Linked DNA regions of Danio rerio. The protein of the gene in region 1 interacts with the protein of each later gene in a biochemical or structural test. Links are inferred from orthologs where the notes say so. Each region holds a gene or a part of one and is shown in the gene's direction. Other genes may lie near its edges.

Region 1 (4,335 bases):
ATAGAAAAAGTTTGGGCACTTCCGATTATCATTACCTAGTAACATTTAAGGCTTGGTTTGTTAGAAACATTTTTAGAAACAAACATCACAAAAAACAATGAGATGTTTAGTTACACACCTCTTTGATTTCCGCCAAGAGCTGAAACTCAGTTCAATCCTCTGTTTACAGGACTCTGAATGCATCTGTTCCTCCACTCCACAAAACAGCCATTTGATCAGATCACGCCGACATCAGACACCATAATAAAGTTAGTGAAATGTGATTTTGCGTTTATTCACTAAAACATAGGTGTTACCTGATGAAAACTAATAATGCCAGCAGAAAATCTGCTGTCCTGATTTCATTAGATAAAATGAATGAACGTGTCATCTGATATTTGGATTTGTTCATGCGATGGAAGTAACGTTAATCGGGGTTTTCTTAAATAAACTGTGTATTTATAATAAGTGCTAATCGCCTCATGATCTGATTTAACTGATCCATGGTTCGGTGTCTCTCTGGAAAAACATAAGCAGCGCCGTTATTCCTCGCTTGCTATTTTCCTGTGTTTCACTTCCTCTCTTCCGGTTTCCGCTTTTCCAGCTGCCGATATATATAACGCTCGGGTAGGCAGAAGCTGGATGAATTGTTCCACTGTGACTTTTTGTAGATCAACTCAAAGGTTTGTTTGTTTTTTTGTTGTTTGCTTAAAATAAATTTCTCTAGTCATCTAGCTCTATATTTAAAGCACTTATGCCTATCAATGTTCAACAATTTCTCCACACAGAAAATATTGTATCATATATTTTTTTATGACACATTTGTGATTAAATAATACATTTAATTGAACTGTTTATTTGTTTGTTTGTTGGTTTGGTTGTTTGTTTATAAATAAACGGATGTGCCCCGAACATTCTCTGCATGCAAAATTATGTTTCATGGTTAAAACATTTTGTGATGGAAATGACAATTTTAAATGACCACTTTCTTATAATTACAGTAAAAAACACAACAAGAAAGAATTTAATTTAAAAATATTAGATTACGTTATAAAAGTCTAGATTATTTTCTATAGCCTATTCATTTTTTAAGTCTTCTTCACCCCCTGAACGTACTTTGTCTGTTACAAATAAAGAGAACACACCATTGTAATATTAATCTAGTTTATTGCATTGATCTAATATTATTCCGTTGATATCCTAAAAATGTCTGCATTTTATTCTCACGCCCATATGAAGTCTGTTAAACTCCATAAACACAACACAACACAACACAACCTTTGGCCTTCTTTGTATTGTGGATATTGTAGTTTTATTAAAGCCACTTTTTCAAAAGAGCCCTCGTTGTATAATCGTCCAAGTGGAGAAACTCAATTTCGTAACTACAGAATAGGGCAGTAATTTTGAATAATATCAAAATACATTTTAATCAGTGGCTTTTTAAAATAATGCCGTTAGAAGGTAGATGACCTGAGACGATTTAGAACTTCAATTCCCAACATGCATTGCGCGACCCATAGGGTCACGCTGTTACAGAACCGCTTCCGTGTTGTGTTTGTTACTGGAAAACAGAAACTGCGTGAGGTGACATAATTTTCTATCGTCCGTCGCCGATTAAACAGCGATGCTTTTGTAAACCGCGGCGTCATAAGAAATCTCAGATTGGACTATGTCGTTGATTCCGGGCTCAAAACAGAAGGATAGGCGCATTTTATGCGGGATGTGCCCGGACCCGCAGTGCCAGGCGAAGCTCATCTTCCCCGCACACACCTCCATGAGCATCGAGTGCACCGAGTGCGGACAGAGACACGAGCAGAAGAATCTCGCCAATGTGGAGGAAGTGACTAACCCTGATGTAGTGCTTCATAATTTGCTGAGAAATGCTTTGCTGGGTGTGCCAGGCCCTCCCAAGAAGGGCTCAGAGCTGGTGAAAGTGATGGGACTGTCCAACTACCACTGCAAGCTACTGTCACCCATCCTCACCCGCTATGGCATGGACAAACAGACAGGCACTGCCAAACTCTTGAAGGAAATGAACCAGGGAGACATCTTTGACTGCTCGCTGCTTGGGGACCGTGCATTTCTCATCGAGCAAGAGCATGTGTCCACTGTTGGGTATGGACGGGACCGGTCAGGGAGCTTGATCTACTTGCATGACACCTTGGAGGAGATCAAGAAAGCGAACGGTAATAGAGAGTGTCTTATTCCTGTGCATGTGGACGGAGATGGACACTGCCTGGTCCACGCCGTGTCCAGGGCGTTAGTTGGACGCGAGCTTTTCTGGCACGCTCTTCGGGAAAACCTTAAACTCCATTTCAAGCAGAACCTCGACCGCTACAAAGCTCTTTTCCAGGACTTCATAGATGCTGCAGAATGGGAAGACATCATCAATGAGTGTGACCCGTTGTTTGTCCCTCCAGAAGGCGTTCCACTGGGCCTGCGTAACATTCACATATTTGGCCTGGCCAATGTACTTCACAGACCTGTAATCCTTTTGGACTCGCTGAGCGGTATGCGAAGCTCCGGGGATTACTCCGCCACTTTCCTACCGGGCCTTATTCCAGAGGAGCAATGCCGAGGGAAAGACGGCACTCTGAACAAGCCCATCTGCATCGCCTGGAGCAGCTCTGGCAGAAATCACTATCTGCCTCTTGTGGGCATCAAGGGCTTGGCTTTGCCCCGTTTGCCTGCTGCACTGCTTCCCAAAGCGTGGGGTGTTCCTCAGGAGCTCATCCGCAAGTATGTGAGTTTGGATCCCAGCGGGAGCTGTGTGATTGGGGGCGACCGGAGCCTCCAGGATAAGTACCTCCTGCGCCTCGTAAGCGCCATGGAGGATGTCTTCATGGACAAGCACAGCATCCATCCCGCTCTAGTAGCCGACGTCCACCAGTACATATACCGACGCACTGGAGTGATCGGCGTACAGCCGGAGGAGGTGACAGAAGCGGCCAAGAAATCCATCCAGGAAGGCCGCCTCCACCGCTGCCTGGTCTGCAACGCTCTTTCAGAGCTCCACGTACCAGCCGAATGGCTCATACCTGGAGGGAAACTCTACAACTTGGCCAAATCAACTCACGGGACGCTCCGTGCAGACAAGAACTACAGTTTCCCATTAAATAGTTTAGTTTGTTCCTACAACCCAGAAAAAGATGTGCTCGTGCCTGATTATAAACTCAGCTCACTCACAACCTGCACCTGGTGTCATGGGACCTCAGTACGCAGAGTTCGGGGTGACGGCTCTGTGGTGTATTTGGACGGGGACCGCACTAACACTCCCTCTCAAGGTGGCAAGTGCGGATGTGGGTTCAAACACTTCTGGGAAGGAAAGGAGTACGACAATCTTCCCGAAGCCTTCCCGATCACTCTGGAGTGGGCTGGCCGTGTAGTCCGAGAAACTGTTTATTGGTTCCAGTACGAAATTGATCCGACTCTCAATAGTAATGTATACGATGTGACCATGCGTCTCGTCACAAAGCACTTCCCTGGTGAATTTGGCAGCGAAATCCTAGTCCAGAAGGTAGTAAACACCATCTTGCATCACACCGCAAAGAAGAGCCAAGATGAATACAACCCAGTTGCCATCGAAGGTGCTCACGTGCAAAATAAAGTAGACGGAGGTGAATCTTCTGCTCACCCTCCGACTAAAATCATCCTGACGGGACAGAAGGGAAAAACTCTGCATAAGGAGGAGCTGGTCATGAGCAAAACCGAGAGGGTGTTGCAGCACAGCATCAGCGAGCAGGCTGCCCTCTCCCAGCGCCGCAGCACAGATCGCGTGCGCCATCAGGACCCTCGCCCATCATCTCCTTCCTCTTCATCATCCTCCGCTCCTCCCACTCCCACCAAAGTACCCCCAACCAGCGGAGAGAAGAAGATCCGTGTAACCACCAGCGACGGGAGGCAGGCCATGCTTACTCTGCAGCCGCACACTACCTACAGTGATCTCCAGAACTCAATCATCCAGGTCTTCAACTTGTCGCCCGGACAGCTGTGCATTCGTCATGGGTTCCCGCCCAGAGAGCTGCCTCCACCACCTCCCGAAGACCAGAACCGGCCCGTGGCGCTTCAGCATGGAGATCGGATTTCTGTGGAGGTGCTGAAGGAGAGCTCGGCTGATCCTCAAGTAACCCAAACACACACTCACAGCCCTCAAACACACGCTCACTCTGACCCACGCCTCAGCCACAGCAGTAGCAGGGAACTTCAGGACAACATTGACCTTGAGATGTCATCACTGTGTCTCCTGGCAGCACTCATGGGTAAGAAACACACACTCACACTCTTCTGTAAGTGATATGCTGTATGAGATTACTGCAAGACTGTAGAGTGTCTTATACTAGAAGTAGCATCTGCAGT
Region 2 (4,005 bases), on another chromosome or scaffold:
TGACTCAGCCAAGATTCAAACTAGCGACCTTTTTACTGTGAGGCGATCCACTGCGCCACTGTCCCATCAAAATGTTTTTTTATTGTTGTTTTGTTTATTTTTTTTGTTATACAAAGTTTATCTTAATATTTTAAATCAGTTTGACTGATGTAAGTTGAGATGACTAGAAAAGCTATTTGATTCATCCAAAACAAATGGCAGCAAGATTTTTTTAAAGTACAATGTGTTTTTGTTTGGACTGCAACTACAAGTGAACTTATAAAATACAATACTGAAAGGGTGAATAGCACTTTCTTTAGTTTATTAATTGAAGTCTATTATCAGTACAAGTTTTAATAAAACAATATGCAAACTTAAAATACTTATTTTTTAGCTTGGAATAAACAATTTTTTGAAGAGCTGACAGGGTTTTAAATCTGCAATAACTCAAGTTTGAATGCAACTGAAAATCTGTATGACCTGTAAATATCCACCCACACTCTTCATCTCATTTGGCAGAACTGGCACAAAATTTACATGGAAAAACAGACAAAAATCCAGACTAAATGTGCACATATACATTACCCAAGAGAACCTACAGCTCTAATTGCTACTGGCAGATATTTTACGTTTAGAACATTAGTTTTAAAGCCAACTTAATTTATATTAGATTTAAAACACTATATTTTGCAATGAATGGTTTCAAATAACAATCTTGTTTTTTCTCACTTCATATTACCTGGAAGGACTCGGTTCCACTTGTGATATTTTTGACATTGTTCCTGTTGCTGTCTCATTTAAAAAGTGCGCTCACATCATGCATCTTTTCCCAGAATTCCCCAGACTCACTTGTTTTAGTGAGTCATACTGCATCAGGGCCTTTCTGCACTGCATCCATCTTCCAGTACTGACTCAACACGTCCAGTAGATGTCAGTATTGGGTTAAAATTGCTCGCACTGAAAGTCAACACTTTTCCAAACCTAAAATTGAATGAGAATTAAACTTCTTTGTGAGTAATTCAAGCACAGTTGGTTTAGACTTGTTTTATCCCAGTGAACATCCTCACCGATGCTTCGTGTTCACATGCGCTACTTACTTCAGAACTGTATTTGCGGCCGAAATATCCCGACAGTAGCCGAGTGTATCCGAAGCGAGCCCCGAAGTAACCCGGATTGAGGTGTGTGAGGAAGGCTGAGCTTCGCTGTTCTGTAGATAGGGGCAGAGTTTTGGTGTGTGTGTGAGTGGGAGATGGACCGAGGGCGCTCTACTGACTAGCAGAGGCGAAGAGCGACTCCAATAGCCAGAACTATTGAAATAATATACGCGATCGTGTCGTCGATAGCCCACTCCTAAAGCAAAATAAGTCGCCCATCTTTCACATCTACTTCACACACACTAACACGGCATTGATGGTAATGTATGCAAGGAAACAACCGAGACTCGGCGATGGGTAAAGAGCTGTTTTATACTACGATTTTCCTTCTCCGCTTTGACAATCCGCCATTTTTAGCCAAACCAAAATAAGTAGAAACTTAAGGAAGCCGATTCAGCTGTTGCAATTTCTAACAATGTTAGTCAAAATGGGTTTTGACTTTAATTTTGTCTCTCTTTTTTGTTTTATTTCATAGGTGCACCGACCGAAGGGATTCTCAGCCCTATCAGGTAGATCTGAAACAAATAAGATTAAAATGGGGTAAATCTAGTCCAGGCTTTTGAAGCAGTACAGGCCTCTGTGCGTAAAACAGAGCAAAAAAGTGTCGTATTTTTCCGGAGATCAGCTTAAAACGACAAACACGTATATTTTAGGATGTGAACATGAATTTACACTGTCGTAAATCGCTTGCCCGTCGAATTTATCACATTTTAAATGCGCCCAGGGCGCTAGCGACTTTAACAGGCTAACGTTAGCTTGCTAGCGGCTACACCAGGCCTGCGTTTACTGCGAGTTTCATCAAAATTGGTAATATAAAATGTATTATCATGATATTATGGGGCATAATAAGATGTTTTAGAAAAACTTTTATGTCGTAAATATAATTTAAGGCCAAGAGGTTGTTTATAAACAGCCGTCTTGATAGCTAGTTAGTGCAACCATATCCAAATAAAACGAATGCAGTTATCGTGTAAATGATTAAGATATAGTTAAGAATGGCATAATTGTCCTTATAGACTTTCCATGTTACGTTAGTTAACTGAAAAAAGTAAAGATATGGTATGACAACATTAATATACATAATATAGTCCTATGAAATGTTTTATTAATTTAAAACATGTCAGATGTTTGTTTGCTAGTCAAAAACACCTTAGAGTAGCATCAAACATAGTCCTCTCAGGGTAAACAGGCTTGTCAGCTATGTAATATCAGCTATGTCCACTATAAACCAGCTCCTTAATGCATTTGAGAGAGAGTAATTGTGCAGCATAGTTCAATGCAGAAATGTCATGTTTTGACAGACTCTTAAGTACTCATCCAAGAGTCACCCGGATCACAGACATGAGAAGATGCGCGACAGTAATGATGCCACTCCACCATGCAAGATGCTGCGGAGATCAGACAGTCCAGACAATAAACACATGGACAACACTGGCCATGGCAGAGCAAAAGCCATCCATCCACACAGAGGGAGAGAGCGAGAAGGAGGTAAGAAGGGGAAGGCCGGGAGTCATATTGATCGTTTGATTAGATGCACAGGTCTGAGGCTGATACTGGTCATGGATCTGTGTTGTAAACCTTATGGCGTTCTCAATTAGTGCTTAGGTTTTTCTATAGAAACACAACTAGTCAGAAATCATCCTTTTGTGTTAGTCATGTTGCTGTGTTTGGTTAAAGAGACAAAGTTAAATGCATTTCACAGGGATTGCCTAGCTTTCAAATCAGAAATTGTGAGAGATAGAATTGTAATAATTTCATATCACTTGAAAATGTCCTGCAGAATTCCTAATGCTTTTTTGCCAGATCCACATGAGTTTATTGATATGGGAAACATTAAGCATGTTTTTAGCTATGCTAGAATAAATCTGTTTTTTATAGTTCTATTGGATAGTTTAACCAAAAATGAAAATTAAGACTATTTCCTCAGCATCATGTCTTTTGCATACCTGTGCTTGTTTTCTACTGCTCAAGCATAAAATAAAACATACTTTAAGTAATGTTCGGAACCAAACTGGTTTGAAGTGACGGTTGATTTATTATTAAATGGTTAAAAAATTGTTATTCATTTTTATTATTTATTTTATTCTTTTGTTTTAATACGTAGTTTTTATTATTATTACTTTGAAATGTAAGTTATACAATACAATAGTAATACATTTGTTAAAGTTTCTTGAATGAAACTTTATTGAATTAGCTGAACATTAAACAGAATTTCTGTTTTGGCAAGATGTCAAAATAAGATTTTTTGTAAATTAATAAATAGTTTTTTCTTGCATAAACCAATAAAATGTTGGCGACACTTTAAGCAGCTCTACAGATGAAGTTCACATTTCTTTCCGTATCATATGGGCACTCATGATTTTGATCGATCAAATGTTGCTATGTCAAGCTGGCAAGTCAAGTTTAGTTGAGTTTCACTGTGATCATCAGTTTCTTCATATACATTTCATGATATTTTACCACTTGATTCATTTGTTTATTTAGCCATTGATTTCTTAAAGCAGCAGTAGGTGATGGTCTTCAGAAAAAAAATTTGTTGTGCTGGTTAAAAGTCTATAGTAATGATTAAAGTAAATGATCTAAATGTATTTATATGTATTTTTATATTCTTGGGTAAGCCATAAGACAAAAAAAAGTTCATCCAATTAAATATTTTCGGACCTATAATTCCGATAAGAAGCCCAAACTGTCTGTCAACAAATGTAGATTTGAACAACTGCCAACCCGTTCGCGCAGATCGTGCCGTGCGTTTACACGGGCAGTGGACACGAGTGACAGTGCTGAAAACAATCTCATAATCAAAACTTTTTAAAATCCTAGATCAATATTGGAGTTACTTTTGCACTCTGTTGGAATGATGACTCCATGCCTG

The links.
Region 2: the proteins of vcpip1 (region 1) and waca form a complex in vitro, tested with the Homo sapiens proteins (2 studies listed by BioGRID). The link is inferred for Danio rerio from reciprocal best matches to the Homo sapiens genes VCPIP1 and WAC.

What each region holds. Positions count from the first base shown.
Region 1 is NC_133177.1:45,057,717-45,062,051, forward strand, and holds the start of vcpip1 (deubiquitinating protein VCPIP1), read left to right. Parts: upstream 1-1,511; 5' UTR 1,512-1,648; coding exon 1,649-4,238; intron 4,239-4,335. UniProt on the Homo sapiens protein: Deubiquitinating enzyme involved in DNA repair and reassembly of the Golgi apparatus and the endoplasmic reticulum following mitosis. Necessary for VCP-mediated reassembly of Golgi stacks after mitosis.
Region 2 is NC_133187.1:25,085,653-25,089,657, forward strand, and holds the start of waca (WW domain-containing adapter protein with coiled-coil), read left to right. Parts: upstream 1-1,200; 5' UTR 1,201-1,389; coding exon 1,390-1,430; intron 1,431-1,608; coding exon 1,609-1,642; intron 1,643-2,434; coding exon 2,435-2,621; intron 2,622-4,005.